Linked DNA regions of Arabidopsis thaliana. The protein of the gene in region 1 purifies or fractionates together with the protein of each later gene. This does not show direct contact. Each region holds a gene or a part of one and is shown on either strand. Other genes may lie near its edges.

Evidence for each region. Proteins that work in one complex are often made in the same cells at the same time.
Region 2: the proteins of AT2G40360 (region 1) and AT5G15550 fractionate together in Arabidopsis thaliana (co-fractionation; one large-scale study listed by BioGRID). This does not show direct contact.
Region 3: the proteins of AT2G40360 (region 1) and AT3G26480 fractionate together in Arabidopsis thaliana (co-fractionation; one large-scale study listed by BioGRID). This does not show direct contact.

What each region holds. Positions count from the first base shown.
Region 1 is NC_003071.7:16,852,376-16,858,436, forward strand, and holds AT2G40360 (Transducin/WD40 repeat-like superfamily protein), read right to left. Parts: upstream 4,397-6,061; 5' UTR 4,261-4,396; coding exon 4,096-4,260; intron 4,010-4,095; coding exon 3,886-4,009; intron 3,683-3,885; coding exon 3,546-3,682; intron 3,452-3,545; coding exon 3,297-3,451; intron 3,218-3,296; coding exon 3,100-3,217; intron 3,009-3,099; coding exon 2,750-3,008; intron 2,659-2,749; coding exon 2,550-2,658; intron 2,463-2,549; coding exon 2,360-2,462; intron 2,280-2,359; coding exon 2,129-2,279; intron 2,047-2,128; coding exon 1,914-2,046; intron 1,836-1,913; coding exon 1,729-1,835; intron 1,629-1,728; coding exon 1,564-1,628; intron 1,488-1,563; coding exon 938-1,487; intron 834-937; coding exon 748-833; 3' UTR 505-747; downstream 1-504. Other genes in the region: AT2G40350 (Integrase-type DNA-binding superfamily protein), read right to left, coding at 281-309; LAC5 (laccase 5), read right to left, coding at 5,817-5,947. UniProt on the Arabidopsis thaliana protein: Required for maturation of ribosomal RNAs and formation of the large ribosomal subunit. Plays an essential role in cell growth and survival through its regulation of ribosome biogenesis and mitotic progression.
Region 2 is NC_003076.8:5,058,149-5,063,836, reverse strand, and holds AT5G15550 (Transducin/WD40 repeat-like superfamily protein), read left to right. Parts: upstream 1-1,692; 5' UTR 1,693-1,833; coding exon 1,834-1,990; intron 1,991-2,232; coding exon 2,233-2,333; intron 2,334-2,447; coding exon 2,448-2,554; intron 2,555-2,889; coding exon 2,890-2,925; intron 2,926-3,039; coding exon 3,040-3,125; intron 3,126-3,258; coding exon 3,259-3,317; intron 3,318-3,396; coding exon 3,397-3,507; intron 3,508-3,615; coding exon 3,616-3,741; intron 3,742-3,872; coding exon 3,873-4,016; intron 4,017-4,149; coding exon 4,150-4,258; intron 4,259-4,349; coding exon 4,350-4,486; coding exon of another isoform or gene 4,487-4,522; exon of another isoform or gene 4,523-4,570; coding exon 4,571-4,606; intron 4,607-4,693; coding exon 4,694-4,786; 3' UTR 4,787-4,789; exon of another isoform or gene 4,790-4,903; 3' UTR 4,904-5,138; downstream 5,139-5,688. UniProt on the Arabidopsis thaliana protein: Required for maturation of ribosomal RNAs and formation of the large ribosomal subunit.
Region 3 is NC_003074.8:9,686,723-9,692,558, reverse strand, and holds AT3G26480 (Transducin family protein / WD-40 repeat family protein), read left to right. Parts: upstream 1-1,592; 5' UTR 1,593-1,731; coding exon 1,732-1,851; intron 1,852-1,940; coding exon 1,941-2,117; intron 2,118-2,207; coding exon 2,208-2,354; intron 2,355-2,427; coding exon 2,428-2,773; intron 2,774-2,898; coding exon 2,899-3,017; intron 3,018-3,097; coding exon 3,098-3,175; intron 3,176-3,297; coding exon 3,298-3,462; intron 3,463-3,542; coding exon 3,543-3,587; intron 3,588-3,690; coding exon 3,691-3,860; intron 3,861-3,945; coding exon 3,946-4,024; intron 4,025-4,113; coding exon 4,114-4,190; intron 4,191-4,270; coding exon 4,271-4,400; intron 4,401-4,487; coding exon 4,488-4,617; intron 4,618-4,699; coding exon 4,700-4,866; coding exon of another isoform or gene 4,867-4,890; intron 4,891-4,916; exon of another isoform or gene 4,917-4,941; coding exon 4,942-5,286; downstream 5,287-5,836. Other genes in the region: AT3G26470 (Powdery mildew resistance protein, RPW8 domain-containing protein), read right to left, coding at 5,659-5,836.

The DNA of each region.
Region 1 (6,061 bases):
AACCCCACACGAACTCGAAGCCACAAATCGCACAGAACGTAATCCAAAAGAGACAAATTGTGCCCAAAATTAACAAATTTCTGTCTACGAAAAACCCCAAAAACCCTAAAGTGAAAACCTTCTAGCTTTCAACTACTAAACAAACAAAAGAAGTTACTTTAAGGAACTTGATACCACTCAAAAACAACAACAATCCTGTAAAAACAAAATCTTTAACAATGAACAATTAGCACACATACACAAGCGGGAAAACAAAAACAAAAAAAACGGACAAACAAACCTGTCAACAATCTCCGACGCTGACGGCATGTCAGCAATCACTCGAACAAAGTAGCAGCTGAAGAAGAAGAAGAACCCAAACGATTCAGTGTAATAGTAGATTAGTAGTAGCAAAGAAGATGGCTTTTTTCGTTAGCAGAGAAAAAAAAAGGTTTGGGATTTGTGAAAGAAGAAGCCTTTATTAGATATTTCAGATATTTCGGTGATGACGTGGCGCTTGTGAGTGAACGTTAAAAAACTATCAAATCAACATTTGGGTTTAAGGACTTGCCACAACTTAACCAACGCTGCCAAATAAATCGATACAATAAGATTTTGGACTTTACCATTTTGGAAGTGCTACAAGTTAGAAATCTCAATAATAAATCCAGTATAACAAAATTGTACGATACAATATTTGAGTAAAGGTGGTGAATACAACAAAGAAGAAAAGAGATGAAAATTGTCAAAATATGGTTTGCGACCAATCTAGTGGCAATAGAGTTTGATAATAGAGTCAGCGCCTGCAGTGAATAGCCATGGTTGTCTCGGATGAAACTTGCAGTCCAAGACTCCTGCAGTCATAAAAAATAATCAAAACACATTAATATAAACGATCTTACAAGTTAATATGCGATAGTGTATTCTTGTAAGAATCAAATACACTGTAAAAACTGACCTCCTTTTGAAGAATGACCTCTTAGAATCTCCAATGGCACAATCAGAGGATTCTGGTTCAGATCATTATACACCATTCCATGGAAAACATAAGCTGTTGAATCCTCCGAGCACGAAGCAAATAACGGATATGATCGATGAACTGCCACATTTGTAATGTCTTTAGGATGATTCTTGAGAGTCTTGTATGGTTTCGAAGATAGATCCATGTCAAACCAACACATCTTCCCTTCTTTGCTTCCTACTATCAGATTATCACCACCAGGATGAATCGCCATTGATGAGATTTCTCTCAATCCTGTCTCAAGCTTTTTGGTGGCCTCGCCTGGCTTCAAAAGATTGTAAACACGCACGTCCTTTCTTGTCGCAACGAAGAAGTAAGAAAGGCTGGGATGAAAAAGTGTACAGACTGGAAGTCCACGAATCTTAAATGGGAGCCTTTGTGTTTTCTGTTTTGACAGTTGGTGCAATACCACTCCCCGTGTTTCCCCGGATGCCATCACTGTTGAGAGATAGTCTCCTTTACGATGCCAGTCAATAGACGATATGCTCTGAAAGTAAACAAACCAGTTTAAGATTTTCCTTATGTAATAACTGTTAAAAGGAGAATCTTTTGCAAAAGTGTACCTTAAAATGTCTTATCTTAATCCCTCCATATAACTCATCAGGTAGCCAGGTTACAATTGCTGCAACTATGAAGTCGTGCAAAACATACCAACCAAAAAGATTTAATCATTTGGAATTTCATCACAATTACATACGAGATGATGGCAGTTATTCCAAGCCACTTACCAGATGCGTCTGGTTCTGGGATGTTTCCTGAGTGAAGCCTCTCTTTAGTAATTTCCTGTTCCTCATCAGTCCCAAGTTCAGTGTTCAGAAAAAACAAATCTCGTCCCCTGCAATGTGAGATGAGAAGGTTTCACAACAGACAATTATAATAAATTCAAAAGCATATTCACAAGATCCTCACTCACATGGCAACGGCTAAAACTGGAAGCCTGGAAAGAGGATTCCAAGCCACACACATGATAGCTTCGTCAAACTGCCAGACCTTAAGGCATCTACCAGTCTCCACTTCCCACATACGGACAGATCCATCAGTTGAACCTTTGAAGGAAAAAAGAATACAAGATTAGCATCTTGAAAACAAAAGAGACCTCATTGAAAAAAAAAAAAAATAATGAAATACCTGAGGCTATCCACTCGCCAGAACTATCAGTGGATATTGAAGTAACAGCCCCTGTATGGCCTTTATATTCAAGATAACAGGAGTTAGGATAAGGTCTAAGATCCTTCCTACTAGGTAGCTTAGGCTTCAAAGATTCAGGGTCGATGTTTATCTGGAGAAAAGAAACATAATGTAAGAAAAAATACGGGAAAAACAAAGAAGAAACCAAAAACTGAGATGATAAGTACTCACTCTCTTCTTTCGAACTCTTGGACATAGGTATAGATCCAAACAACGCTCAAAAGACTCCTTCAGTGCATTCTCATACGCAGGGATGCTTCTCAAAGATGTAAACCTATGCGCAGATATATTTACTGAAACGCTCAGCGGACAAATACCAAAGAAACTACATTAGAGTAGAATAAGCGAAACTGTTACATACCTTGTAGGAATGAATTTTGGACGATCTTCCTCAAACATCAACTCATATGAGGCTTTCTCCTCCTCTGTTGGAATATATTCCAAAGAAGGATTGTATGATTCATCGTGTCCTGGAAAGCCAAATAGTACAAATTAAAAGTTTGAAAACGGAATTCCCAAGAGAGGAAGAGAAACAACAGAAAGTCAGCGAAAAGTTTTCACCTGGCAATTTAAGCTTGGGTGGAGGAATATAAGTTAAATGCTTGCTCTTTTGATCAGATGTCGAATCATCACCCCATAAAAGGTATACATTGGGCTCTTCTTCAGGCTTATCAAACTTGATCCACCCCTTACGTATTGCTCTAACAATCTTAACAACCTTTTTGGCCTCCCATTTTGAAGGGATGAATCTTCGCTTGGGCTCTGGTGCACTTGAGAGTGGATGTATTGCATCATCATGTTTGAACCACTCAACATAAGGCTGGTCCCAAGAGAATCAATCAAAAGGTCACAAATTGAAGAGATTTGCATAACATTAGTAGAAAACGGCTACACATAAAACAGATACGTACTGCATATGGATCAAAGTCCGCATGTGGAGCTTCCCCTTTGAGTATTCTCTGAACGATCTTGCTCTCCTCTTTAGTCAGCTCAACGTCCTCGTCATTATATTCATCATAAATTTTGCGCCTAAATCCCCAAAAACTTTCATCAGCATTATGACACCAACTAACCACATACCAACAAACAGAAAAGTCTTCATACTGACCAAGTCTTAGAGTCATCTATAGTTGCAAGAAAAGAGTCGAGTTTATCTTGTTTTTCTTTCTTAGTAATCTTCTTCCCAGTGAGGTCATAACCAATATGTTTCTCATCTTCATACCACTTTAAGGGAACATTCCCAACTGTATTTCTAGATGGAACCTACAGATTAAAGATACAAAAATATCTATAACTTCATCTGGAAATGGAGAAAGATAGATTCAAGACCAATATGAGATAGAGAAAAGCATCAAACCTCATCTTCTGAGGAATCGCTCTCTTCAACCGCTTCACCTCGCTCAGAATCTTCATCACTCCCATGTTCCTCATTATTGTCACTACCTACATGTTCACTTCCATCATCATCCTCGTTATCAATTGACCCATCATGCTCTGCACCAACATATCCTAACATAGTTAATCTCTCTTACTTGAATTTACTTTCCCATGTTAAAGCTAGAAACTTTATTCCCCCATTATAAACTCCCGCAAGTATTTTCTAACACACTATAATTAGCTTCTTCAATTCAAAAGCATAAACACTAAAAATTTAAGATTTGAGCTAATTTAGACGAAAAGCAGAGTAAGAAAAGTACCAAGCACGTCGTCGTCATCGGAAAATTCTACATCTCCATCTTCTGTTCCTTCATGTGTTCCATCATCCTCTGAATCGGAAAAATCGGAGTCGAAATCGTCGGAATTCAAAGAACCAGGCAAACTCTAAAAATCACCCAAAAAAAAAAAACCAGAATAAATCAAATGCAGAATAAAGATGTTACAAAAGAGAAGAGGAGCAAGAAGAATACATCTCCGTCGTAATCAGAATCAGTTCCGGATGCTTGTAGAAGGTCTTCCTCTTTTAAGCTTTCTGCTTCTACTGGTTTCTTCTGTTTCTGAGATTTTCCAGAAACGTTTTTGCTTTTGGTTTCTATCAGCTTATCTTCGTTAGCTCCTTTGCTCCTCTTCGTCATCGGAGCTTCCAGAGGCGAGTTTTGGCCTGAGAAGAAATTTGTTTTAAGAAGGCAAGGGGATGCGTAACAAGAGATTTAGGGTTTTAGGTTGAAGTCGTAACTCTCTAATGGGCCTGAGAATAATTTTTTATTGAACAAGGCATGGGAATGCGTAACAAGAGATTTAGGGTTTTAGATAATGGACCTATATACTAATGGGCCTTTCGTGAAGACGATAAAAGAAAAAATTTAAAACCTTTGTGGTGGTGTTTGATGAATGGTGAAAAGTGAAAACGACAAATAGACTTTTTGGTTGTGATTAAAACTTTTTTATTCTTCTTGGTTGATCCAATTCTAAAGTGTCTGATAATAGTTATATATCATGATTTTCGCCAATATAAATTAACAATTATTAAAATTTGTATAATAGATATTATCTGGTTAGTGAATTTTAAAATATATATGTTAGGTTTTAAGATGACAAATGAGTTTAGTTTGCTATTTATTTTAGTATTTAATTGGTTTGCAAATGCCTTAAAAATTTATGAATATCTATCATGTAAAAGATCAATTATTCTTTTATATATTTTGCGTGTTTATAGCTAAGCTCACACTCGCGACCTAAGTTTTATTTTCTACGGTAAGATTTAGTTTGGATTTTCACCTTTTTGTATGGATTAAATCAAATATGACAATCGGAGTTCTTACAAATTATTACACGTTAATTTCTTGTCTACTCTAATATTTCGGTAGATTAGTGGCAACATGCATGTGTAAGAATTATATTATTATTATCATTTGTTACATTTGTTATAAAATTAGCCCTCTGAGTACTCAAAAATATAACAAAGTCATGACAACTTTTGTTTCTTCTAGTAATGTCGATGTTATGATTAATCCGCGTCGGAAATCACTTTGCCCCAAACTTTTCTGCTCAACTAATTTGGAATTTCAGGCCACTTTTTCTTGATGTCATATTCACTTATTCTTTTTCAATTAATTTCGTTATCATCTTCTCAAGTTCAAATTCAATAATGTTACGTAAAAGAATAATACTCATCAATTCATAGCAATGCGTTTTAAAACAAAATGGAATTAGGATAAGTTTCTTTCTTTATAACTTCAACATTCAATATTGACTCAGCAAATATTACGCCAACAAATTATGTTGTTTATTATGATCGCAAAAGTTCTAAGCTGATTATGGAAATAAGTAGGAATTTAGCTCAACAACCATTCATTCTAATTCTAACATATCAAATTCATGCTCTTAGTCATACACAAATCGAGTGAATGAAACCTTTTAACAAAAAAAAAGAAATCGAAGTAATGGGTCAATTAAGCATAAAGAAAAACGAAAAAAATAAACTTTCATGATACGTATGCTTAGGCTCTTAGCACTTGATTTGGTACTATAATGTCAAAAGAATACATCAATAATCGAGAAAACTTAATCTGAAGGGTCCGGGCCAACTCAGGAGTATGACCCGGTTTACGTCTATAACCAACAAAAAACAATTGAATAGAAGAACATGAAAAACTATAATGTGGTTTTATGTTACAAAGTTCTTGAACTCCTAACAAACGGGCAAATCATGAGGAGGCTGTTCTATTGTCTGCAAAACTCCATTTCCATTCTCAACCAAAAAAGCCATGGCTAGTCCCCACGATATGTGTGCATCTAGATGACAATGCATTATCCAGACCCCTGTTTTCAATCATTTTTACACGTATTTAGTTTAGGGACTAGTCTCGATATATATATAATAAATTAACGAATCATGTAAATTTTATAGCTAAACTGAAAAGCGAAGAAATTTGG
Region 2 (5,688 bases), on another chromosome or scaffold:
GCTGTTGTTAAGTGCACGGGAACGATTTAGGATTTATGTAAGCAAAAATAGTTCGTAGTTAACAAAGTTTGACCACCACTCTTTTACCAAAAAAACAAAATTGACCACTCCACCACTTTTAGCAAAAAGTAAGTAATCTCGAGAAGGAAAAAAACAAAAGTCATTAGTATGGGTTAAAAACTTAAATACATGTACTAATCAACAAGAAAATAAATTTGGTGATTTTATTATATAAAGTATGGTTTTCAAAGTTGCTAACTCATAGGATTGTGCCACGTGTCAAGTCAAACGATCAGATGTTTACATGTGTCATTCAAAATTTAACTTTTTAATTCTCTAAAAAAATAGAAAATCTTAAAAAGTAAACAAATTTACATATACTAATTTATATGTCTATATATTTATAAACAATTAACATTTATTCAACAAAAGGAAAATTAACAAATTTGTCTTTAACTCATGTAATCATAAGTGAAAATAGAACATTTTGAGAAAAATAGCTTAGCTTACAGGACTTAACTTTTCAATTATTTTTATTTATTAATTTTAACTCATTTAATATTAATTTGCATGATGTAAAATTAACTTACGAGATTACGGCATATATAGAAAATATATTTTCAACAATGTTTGGTTTCTAAATATTTTTGTGGATTTTTTTTATATTAATTATTAGCCCTAGGCGTTTGGGTTTTCGGGTCGGGTATTTAGGGTTCGGGTTTTCGGGTTTAGAAGTTTAGGACCCGTTCGGGTAATTTAAGGTTTCGGGACATTTATTCAACAAAAAGAAAATTAACAAATTTGTCTTTAACTCATGTAATCATAAGTGAAAATAAAACATTTTGAGAAAAATAGTTTAGCTTACAGGATTTAACTTTTCAATTATTTTCATTTATTAACTTTAACTCATTTAATATTAATTTGCATGATGTAAAATTAACTTACGAGATTACGCCATATATAGAAAATATATTTTTTAACAATGTTTGGTTTCTAAATTTTTTTGTGGATTTCTTTTTTCTATTAATTATTAGCCCTGGGCGTTTGGGTATTCAGGTCGGGTATTTCGGGTTAGGGTTTTCGGGTTTAGAAGTTTAGGACCCGTTCGGGTAATTTAAGATTCCGGGTCGGGTTCGGGTTCGGATTCGAGTTTATTTATATATTGAAATATCAAATTTTGTGTGCAAATCTATTAAATTACTTGAAAATTTCAAAAATTCCCAAAACAACACGAGTAGTTTTGCTTGAATATATCTAAAATGACACAAAAATAACTAAAATATCCAAATAATCCTAATATTTTCTATATATAAGTATAAATATAACTAATATATACTTATATTTGAAATATGTTTGGATATCTATTCGGGTTCGGGTTCGAGTTTTTCGGGTTTTGAAGTTTAGACCCGTTCAAGTATTTGAAAATTTTCGGTACACCCGCCTAAATAGGCGGGCCTTATCTAGTGTTTATATAAAAGATAAGAAAAATATTTTACTCGGTTCAGTTTGATTATTTCAATTTTCTTTGGTTTGGTTTGGTTTGGTTTATATAAAAGTATAAACAGAGGCCTGAGCCGGCCCATCTTAAAGATCCAAATGCTTTGGGCCCAAAATTGATCTCTTCTCACTCGTCGAACCACATATTTCTCTGGTTTGAGTAGCCTCGGTATGATCTAAACCGGAAAAGGAGGTCAATTCCGTAATTTTAAATTTCCTTAAACCCTGTGCCTGGGTGAAATTTCCACACTTCATCGCCTCAAGGCAGAACCCTAATTTATCTCCGCGTCTTCTTTTTGCTCAGTAACAGGCCATCGGAGAAGTTAAGAGGCTAAAATGGATATCGACGGAGAAGATGTATCTAGAAGACTTCACGTTAAGTTCGTGACGAAGCTTGACTCTCCCTTCAAAGTTCCGGTCAACTCCGTCGCAATCCCTTCTAATGTCACTCGTCTCGGCCTCTCTTCCATCGTCAATTCTATTATCGAATCCGGTAGCCTTTTCTCTCCATCTCTCCCTGCAGTTTCGAATGCTAGTATTTATTCGTCTTTGTCTTTAAATTTGTCAAATCCTAAGTGTTACTTGGAATAGTGGTCTCTTTCTCATACGAGAGTTTGTTAGGTCTGCTTAGGAACTTGTTTGTACTTATGAATTAGAGAGCTTACATAAAAGCATATATTATTGTTCTACCTGTGATTATGCAATATTCATCACTGAGACTTTTTGGATGAACAGAGAATCCAGAGTGGAAAACTGAGCCGTTTGATTTCCTTATTGATGGGGAGCTTATTCGGATGTCACTCGAAGAGTTTCTTCTTGCAAAGGGAATATCGGCGGTAATGTGTTTCATCTTAATCTTCCACTATTCACACCAGCTAGTGTACTTGGAATTAGTCCATAGTGCTTTATCTTGGAAACATATACTTAATTAAGTTCATTGGTTCTTACAGGAGCGTACTCTTGAAATCGAATACATAAGGGCTGTGACACCACGGAAGGAAGAAGAACCCTCCTTGCATGATGATTGGGTCAGTGCGGTTAATGGTTCTTCTCCCAGGTAATATTTTTTCCTACTGCATTACTTTATGATGTAGAATTTCCTTTAAGCTGCTAGATGTCTTTTACTATTTCTTCTGTGACACCAGTAATTTGAATTAAAAACTCTTATTCATTTTTACGCACAACCACCTTGCCATATGGAAAATCATAGACCTGTATCTTTGTTTAATATATTCGACTGCCATATCATATGTTGTTAGAATTAGTCTTCATTTGTTCCAATTCAAGGCCATCCAGTGATCCGGATGATATCTAAGGATGAATATAGTCATTTGTTCTTGGTTTTAATGATTGTGTTAGTGGTTCTCTTGATCTCGCTGTTGTTATTTGCAGGTTCATTTTGACTGGGTGCTATGACGGATTAGGAAGGTGATCATTTGACTTATTTATTTAATCTTATATGCTTTTGATTATTTTCTATCCTTTTGTATTGCTTTCAAAATTTGCAAGAATCTTAGATTACTTGGTTTTTCTTCTGATCAGGGTATGGAGTTCGGCTGGATCGTGTTCACACATATTAGAAGGCCACTCCGGGGCTATCTCCTCTGTTGCTTTAGTTAATTCCAACGGTATGACCATCGCATGAGAAATCTATACTATGCCTGTTCTGTACTAGCAAATGATACTAACAAGAATAAATTTTCCCTTTTTTGGCTCATTGATCAATTCTTTGTTTTTCTTTGTGTTGATTTGTGCATCCAGATGCAGAAACTGTTACTGTAGCCACTGCCTCTAAAGATCGGACATTGAGATTGTTTAAGGTAATCACGGATGAGATATCATACTTAAAACCAAAGGTTTATTTTACGTCTAAGTAAAGATATCTCTCCCTGTCTGAAGTTTGATCCAGCTGAGTCTGTTGACTCTACTACGAAAGTAAGGGCATACAAGATATTGCGTGGACACAAGGCGTCAGTTCAAAGTGTTTCAGCTCAGAAATCCGGAAACATGGTTTGCTGTTACTCCTTTCACTTAACTTGTGTTTTGCAAGTATAATTTTGTTGCTATATTTCTTCGAGCTAAGCTGACCCCCTTTTTTTGTTGTATAATGGAATTTAGGTTTGCTCGAGTTCATGGGATTGCACCATCAATTTATGGAACACAAATGAATCTACTTCAGAAGGGGAGTCAGTATCAGTAAAGAAAAGAAAAGGAAATAATCAGGCCGAGGAATCTCAGTCAGAGGTACCGGATAATATGCATTCTTTTGAAACGTACTATCTACTCTTCAAATCAAAATAGAGAAATGTACTCCCAGTTGTGTTTTTCTGAGTTCCAAGTGTCTGATATCAATTACGATATTGAACTTCTTACAGGGAGAGGCAGTGACTTCTTTGGTTGGACACACACAGTGTGTATCATCAGTTGTTTGGCCAGAGCATGATGTAATTTATTCCTCTTCGTGGGACCATTCCGTTAGGAGATGGGATGTTGAGACAGGGAAAGATTCTTTGAACTTGGTATGCCTTCTCTCTCTCCTTTTCTTTCGTAAATATTAGGGCACACACCAGACATGTTGTTGCCGAAAAATCAGTGCTTTTGAAGTTGTTTTCGCCGGAAACTTAAAGCCGGTTTGTTTCTGTGAAATTGTAGTTCTGTGGAAAAGCTCTCAACACGGTAGATGTTGGTGGTGAAAGTTCTGCCCTTATAGCTGCTGGTGGCTCAGATCCAATCCTTAGAGTATGGGATCCTCGTAAGCCAGGTGATAGATCCATATGAACACACACCAAGTCAATATAACCAGACCGGTTTTTTATTACACAGTTGATAAACTGTCTTCATTTACTCTGTAGGAACATCCGCTCCCGTGTTTCAGTTCTCTTCACACTCATCATGGATTTCCGCCTGTAAGTGGCACAAAAGCTCTTGGTTTCACTTGCTCTCCGCTTCCTACGACGGCAAAATCATGCTCTGGGATCTCAGAACCGCTGTAATGACAAAGCACACACACTCCTTTCCGTTATAACCCACGGTTTTCTATCTTTAAAAACTAATCTTCTTCCTCCTTTTGCAGTGGCCTTTGTCAGTAATTGATACACACAATGACAAGGTAAAGTAAACACAATGTTATCTTCCAGCTTCTACTCTTTTAGTTCTTCTTGTTACTGAAATGGTATAAAACAACTTGGTTTTAAAGGTTTTATCTGCTGACTGGTGGAAAGGAGAGAGTGTAGTCAGCGGAGGAGCAGACTCTAACTTGCGAATTTCTTCCGGAATCGCAATTTCTTAAAAGGTATGAAATCCGAAATCTTTTGACCATTTCTTTTCTTACATGAAATGTGGAGCAATGAAACATTTACTCAGTTCCGTACGATGTCTGAGAAAATTCGATTCTTTTCTTACTCAGAAACACAAACGATTCATGATCCTGGAATGAGACTGTTGTAAGTTCTGCTGAATAGAGCTTATTGTCTTCAAGGTTGTATACTCTTCATATTCCGAAATGTTAAATCTTAATTATACTTTTGGTGGGAAGCAAATTTTGTTTTTATTGTCTGATAACGACCATTTAAAATCAAGAGCTATTTACTTATGTTGTCTGCCGTGCTAAATACTAAATTAGTTTGCTTTTCTTTGGCCGAAAAATAAAATAGCATCAACTACAAAACTCTACTATCTTCGTTCCCCAATAATACAATTCCAAACCATGTGCTGAAAATTATCGAATACATTGGCAAAAAAGGACTATATTAAATAATTCCCAATCAAAAGTTAATCTTGCCATCGTAAGGTTGTTTGAAGTTTGAACTGCCAATTAGGTGGAGCAACATCATGAAAGCCCAAACATTTCCTATCACTTGTAGTGACATTATAGGACAAACTCTCTCCGGTTAGCTTCAAATTAGTATCCCAATCCTGTCCCCAATGCCAATGCATCTGAAACCAACCACCTCTCTTCGAACCTTCCACCTTAAGCTACATCACCAACATGTTCAACGTTGTAAACAAAAACCATCAAGAAATAAGGATATATCTTCCTAAGCGTTTTGAATATTGGGACCGATGAACTCGATCTCGACTCGGTTTGGATCAATCTCATCGGTCCCAATATTGAATGAGCTAATAGAGGTTCTTTCAAAAGAGCTTTTAGACACCAATTATCTAAGCTTTTCCAAAGATGCAACAATATAC
Region 3 (5,836 bases), on another chromosome or scaffold:
GCCCAATAAACAACAGGCCCAAGCGCAGACCCTAAACAACTCTCAGCTCCAACGGTCATCTCCTGCAAAAGAAGACAAAACCAAAAGTACATCAAGATTGGATCAAAGGACAAAAACAAGGAGCTGTGCTGGAAAAGAAGGAGTGGTTTTACAAAACTGTTTTGACTGTCTAGGATCAATAGAGACCTGACATGTGTCAGTGAAAACCCTAGTGTCACTAAGATTATAATGCCTATGAAAGGAAACATGATGTAATCTTAAACCCTAAAGAGAATAATCAAGAGAAATGAAATTTATCTTCTTTATATTTAGCCTTTGAGCATCTTTACTTTCATTGGTTAAGAGAACACTGAAAGCAACAATTCATATGTATAAAAATCTGAAAAAATAATTCAACATTCTAATTCATTAAACGTAGGATTTACAAAAGTCCCACTTTGTCTCCCATTTTTAGTCATCGTTCATGATGGTTGTATGCGAATAGTTTGATGAACAACTATAATTATTACATTTAGTTTGTTTCCAACGAGCCATATGTCAATGTTTGTTACGCTACAATTTTTATTTTTCTTATTTCTTAAACTTTTTACTTTGGAATAAGTTGATATGTATATGAATCATCTACCATTTCTCGTTTTTTCACAATAAATCCTAAATTTTTTGAACATTTTGTCTATATATAACTTTTCCATGACATAAATTAACCTTAGATAATATTGTATCTAAAGGTATAAACTACCGTTCCAAGTCTGATTAAACTATTGACCCTAAACATTTTTAAAACTGTTAGATCCACAAGACGCACAACTAGTTGATTGCATAGTCTTTTGAAACAAGACAAACAAACACTATATCAAAACAATATCATCTTTCTAATTTTATTTTAGTTATGTCGCTATCTATATGAACGATTTTCCGATAAGCTAGTCATATGCAAAAGATTTATAAAAAAAGTAATATGTTGACGAGGAAAGTGATAGATTGATAAATTAAGAACATAAATGTTTTTGAAAAGAAATTATAGCTAAACTGTCATAAAATAAAATTATAAAATAGATTAACTTATATATAATAGAAGCAACTTCAGTTTTTTAAAACATTCATGGAATTAACGATGGATATCGAAGTTTATTGGTCAACCTAAAATCATACCCATACATTTTAGTATTTATTGGACGACCTCAAAAATCAAAGTCATTGTCGACCATTGTAATACAGTTAATGTCGCATACTATGCCTCTGAATCATCCATCCATATTTTGTTAAAACGAAGTGAGTTTGTTAACTACAAAATTTCCAATTATTGGACTATACATTATATTTTGTTTATCCACAGGGTTTTTCACATAAATTAAGAAAATACAAAATACTTAAGATCTTGAAAAATTATGTAAGTTATTTTCTTGCCGTCTCATTTTATTAAAGATAAAACAGAAAAAATAAACAAACAGGCCGAGGCCCAACAAGGTCAAGGCCTAGTCCAAGAAGCGAAACCCAAACATGGAGGAAGAGAATGAGAGGAGTCATCACAGAGCCAGGTGTTACGAAGAAAGTGAAACTACAAGTACAAGCATATAGTACTAAGTACTAGTCGCAATTTGGTCACAGACATAATTTCCTCGAAAACTGGGTACATTGTAATATTTCGTCGGAAAAACGTCGCAAAATCTAATTTTTAATCGCCGAGTAAGATGTTTGCGTCTTCTCAGAATCTCCGTGAGTTGAAGGAAAATGATTCGCGGCGGAAGAAACAACATTACTTCCGCTCCGGCGTTTTCGAAAGACGCAAAGAAGCTTCTTTTATGCACAGCCAACACCGTCTCTGTTTACAGCGTCGCCACTGGCTTAAAGGTTTTATCTCTCGACTCGAGCATCCTTCCTTTTAGGGTTTCCCTCTAATCTTCTTCTCTCATTAGCGTATGCGTGTGTGTGTTTTTAAGATTACTTCACTCGAGGATCATACAGCGCCTGTGACGTCTGTGATTGTTGATCCGTCTTCCGACGAAACCGTCAGTTACTGTTGGACTTCGTCGCTCGATGGGAAAATTCGGATTTGGGAGTTCTCTGCGCCGAAGCTTTTGAAGATATTTGATACCCACCTTCCAATTCACTCTCTGGTCTGTTAAAGTTCCATACTTTGCAGCTTATAAACAAAAATTTGATAACTTTCAATTGCCCTTTTCTAAGTGTCTGTTGGGACTTTGTAGGTGATGATTCCAGCTCAAGTGTCACATTCCGTGATTGCTTATGTTTCGGTTGAGGACTATTCAAGTGTGTCCAAAGATTTGTTTGGACAAATCCGGAGATATGATCTCACTCAAGACCCTCTTCATAGTGGAGACACTTTGAAAGAGGTCAGATTTGTGGATTAACCATTTTTCGATTAGCCTCATGTTTGATTCTATAATCATTTTTGTTAATGTGCAGATGGAAGAACCAAAACCTATTGTTTTAAGTCCCTCTGGAGAGTTTTTCGGCGTCTGTCATAACTGCAGTATACATATATGGAATGTGGCATCAGAGCACCTCATGCCAAAGGAGACGACATTACATCATACAGAGTTGATTACTGTTTTTGCTTTCCATCCCAATCAGAGAATATTAGCAGCCGGTGATGTAACAGGAAGAGTGTTAATTTGGAAGGATAATGGTATTGGAGAATTTACTTCAGTGAAAACTGAAGATGATACTGAATCTTGCACTACTTTCAACTGGCACAGCGCTGAAGTAACCGTCCTTAATTTCTCTTCAGATGGAGCACTTTTGTATTCTGGTGAGTCTGAGTTATTTTTTCATCATAGTGACTGTATCTCTGTGTGTTGATAAGGAATTCATGTTTCTTATATATATATATATTGAGTTCTTATGCTATATTTCCTTTGCTTGTGACTCTTTTAGGGGTAAAGGCAGGTGATTTTGTTGTTTGGGAGCTAGGTACAGGGAAGAAGCAACTTTTGCCAAAGATTGGATCTCCCTTGTTGTATTTCATCTTCTCTTCAGATTCAACTCTTTCTTCTGTAAGAGTTTTTCCGTTTACAACAACCGTAGAAAGCAAATGAAGTGTTTCATTAACTCTACTAAGATCAAGAATTTTCAGGTGATTTGTGCAGATAATCAAATTCATCTTCTTAAAATGCCTTCCATGGAGATATTGAGAACGATATCTGGAATCAAGGTTCGTTCTTACTATCATCCGAAATTTTTCCTTGTTATTGTTGGTTTAAGCATGCTCATATTGTATACCGTTTCTGTTGGAGTTAACTTCACATGCATATTGTGTTCTTTACTATGTAATAGCCTCCGACACCAGAGCGTCACGGGTTTATATGCTACGTCAAAACGCGGGATATATGCCTCACCAGAACTGTATCCATTGATCGTTCTTCCGGTATAGCTGCTTTCTGCACAGCGAATCATCGTGTTCAACTCTACAACCTTTTAAGTGACCATGACATTTCAGAGGTTAGCTTCCCAAAAGGCTTATTGAGTTTTGTATCTGATAGTTGTATGATTTTACTATTTAACAAACCTAACATATGCAGGTTCAAATTTGCGATCATCATCCAGACGATGATGATCAAGTCCGGGTTAGTACATTTTGTTTCTTCTCTGTAAGATGACATAGTTGTTACTAGTAAAAGATCCGCTCTCTTTCTGTTTTGTAATAATTTGAAGAATTATGGAAAATAGGTTCTCGTGACTGCGGTTGCTCTCTCTCGGAATGGCTCAGTAATGACTACAGCTGAGGCCAGATTTGCTGCAAGCAATTTCAGTGAAGGCATAGTTTCTCTCAAGTTTTGGGTATTTGTACCGGACAGCAAAACTTTCAGCTTATCGACAGTCATAAATCAACCTCACAGGTTTTTACTTCAATGTTCTTATAAACTTTTAAACTCCTTGATTCTCATCGTGAGTGTAACTTTTGATCCTTCTGTATTCTCACAGGGAAGCTGCAATTACAGCCATTGCCCTTAACCCCGCCCGTTCCATGGCTGTTAGTATATCTTCTGCTGGGGACTTCAAGGTAGGATTACAGAGTAGTGAAAAATGGATCATTTCCTTGGAATATCGTTTGACCTTTTGTGTTACTGATATGACTTTATGTCTGTCAAGATTTGGGTTTGCAGTAGCGACAAGAATCTGACACCTGAGGACTCAAACTGGATTTGTCATGGAGTTGGCTCTTATAAGTAAAAGATTAGGAACCTTTTAACATCTCTCATTACTTAGTCGTTGTGATGTCAAATGAAATTGATGTAATATTTTTCAGGAGAACGCCAATAACAGCTGCTGTTTTTTCCGGGGATGGTTCTTGTCTGGCTCTTGCGGCTAAAACAGTTATTACGATCTGGCACCCGTTAAAGAACGAACTCCTGTATGTAGTTGGAAAGGCAAATGCGGTAAGACTTGTATAACACACAAAAGCAATTCCATGTTCATTAGTTACAGTCATTGTTGAAATCTTAAATGATATGTAAATGTTTCAGCCAATTATGGAACTCTCATTCACTGGAGGAGGCTTCCTTATTGCTGCATCCCATGGTTCCACACCGCACTTATCTGTCTGGGATCTGATGACGTTCTGCTTATCATGGTCATATAGATTATACATAGAAGGTTTATTATTTATCTTTTTGATCATGAAATCTTGATTTTTTTGGTTGTCTAAGTATATTTCATTTTTCCTGTTTATTTGCAGCCATTGCTACTGAAGTGGACTCACCATACTTTGCAGTTTTAACATGGCTTCCAGAATCTGATAGGTTGGTAAAATCTAACGAACAGATATTCCGCGGGAAAGATGGTGCTATCCTCTTGTTTGATGGGTCAGGCCCTAAACCAGTAGCTATTTGGACTGTAATGAAGGTATATACTCTAAGGAAGGATTAATCAAAGTTCTCTCATTGCCGTTAAGAGACTTGATTACAATGTTTATTGCAGGCCAGAGGAGGAACACTTTCATTTGTGGAAGATGGTAAAAAGTCTCAGCCGCTTCTCGCGTATGTAAACAGGAGCCATGAATATGTTCTATTTGATCCTTATAGCGATGAAAAACTCGAGACTAGCGCCATAGATTATGAAGTTTTTCTTGCAGCAATAAGCAAAAAGAAGAAGAGATCTAGGAAGAAAGCATTGATGTCAGAGAAACCTTGGGAAACAATGTTTTGTGGATCAACACTCAATTTCCCGCCTTTCCCCGACTTGTGCGCTTCGTTCTTCAGTTCCCGGATGCAGAAAGAGGTGTGTGAGAGAGCAGATAGACAACCTGAAAGACATAGCTCTTGAGAGACCCCATATTTTGGAACCCAACTTGGATAACATCATTTTGTTGGTAGCCTTTTTGTTAGAGATACAATCTGATTCCTTCAGCTACTAAAAGGGTTGTTTTGATATTAAAAGGGCTTCATTCATCATGTAGAACCTGCTGATTTGAGGTGTATAAACCAATTCTCTCTTTAATACGTAAAAAAGTAAGGTCAATTGTAACGTATGGAAAAAGAAGAAGCTAAAACAGAGTAGTGGACGATAAATTATATTTAAAATTGTGACTGAAACATAATTTAACAAATTGAAAAACATAAATCGAAAGCAATTTGTGTTTTAAAGATCGTAGTCCGCAAGGTTGAGTGGGTTGCAAGTATCCTAAGTCGTATGTGGTCAAGCAGGAGGATTCATGGAGGCTGCAGGAGGAGACATCATCGGTAGGAGGGTCTCGGGGTCAAAGCCGTTGGCTCGTAGTAAGACATCTTGCGCTCGCTTCATCGCAAGCATGTTGTTGATGACGTTGTTGGAGAAGGTGCGGAATTCAGCCTCCAAAATGGTGACCCGCATATCC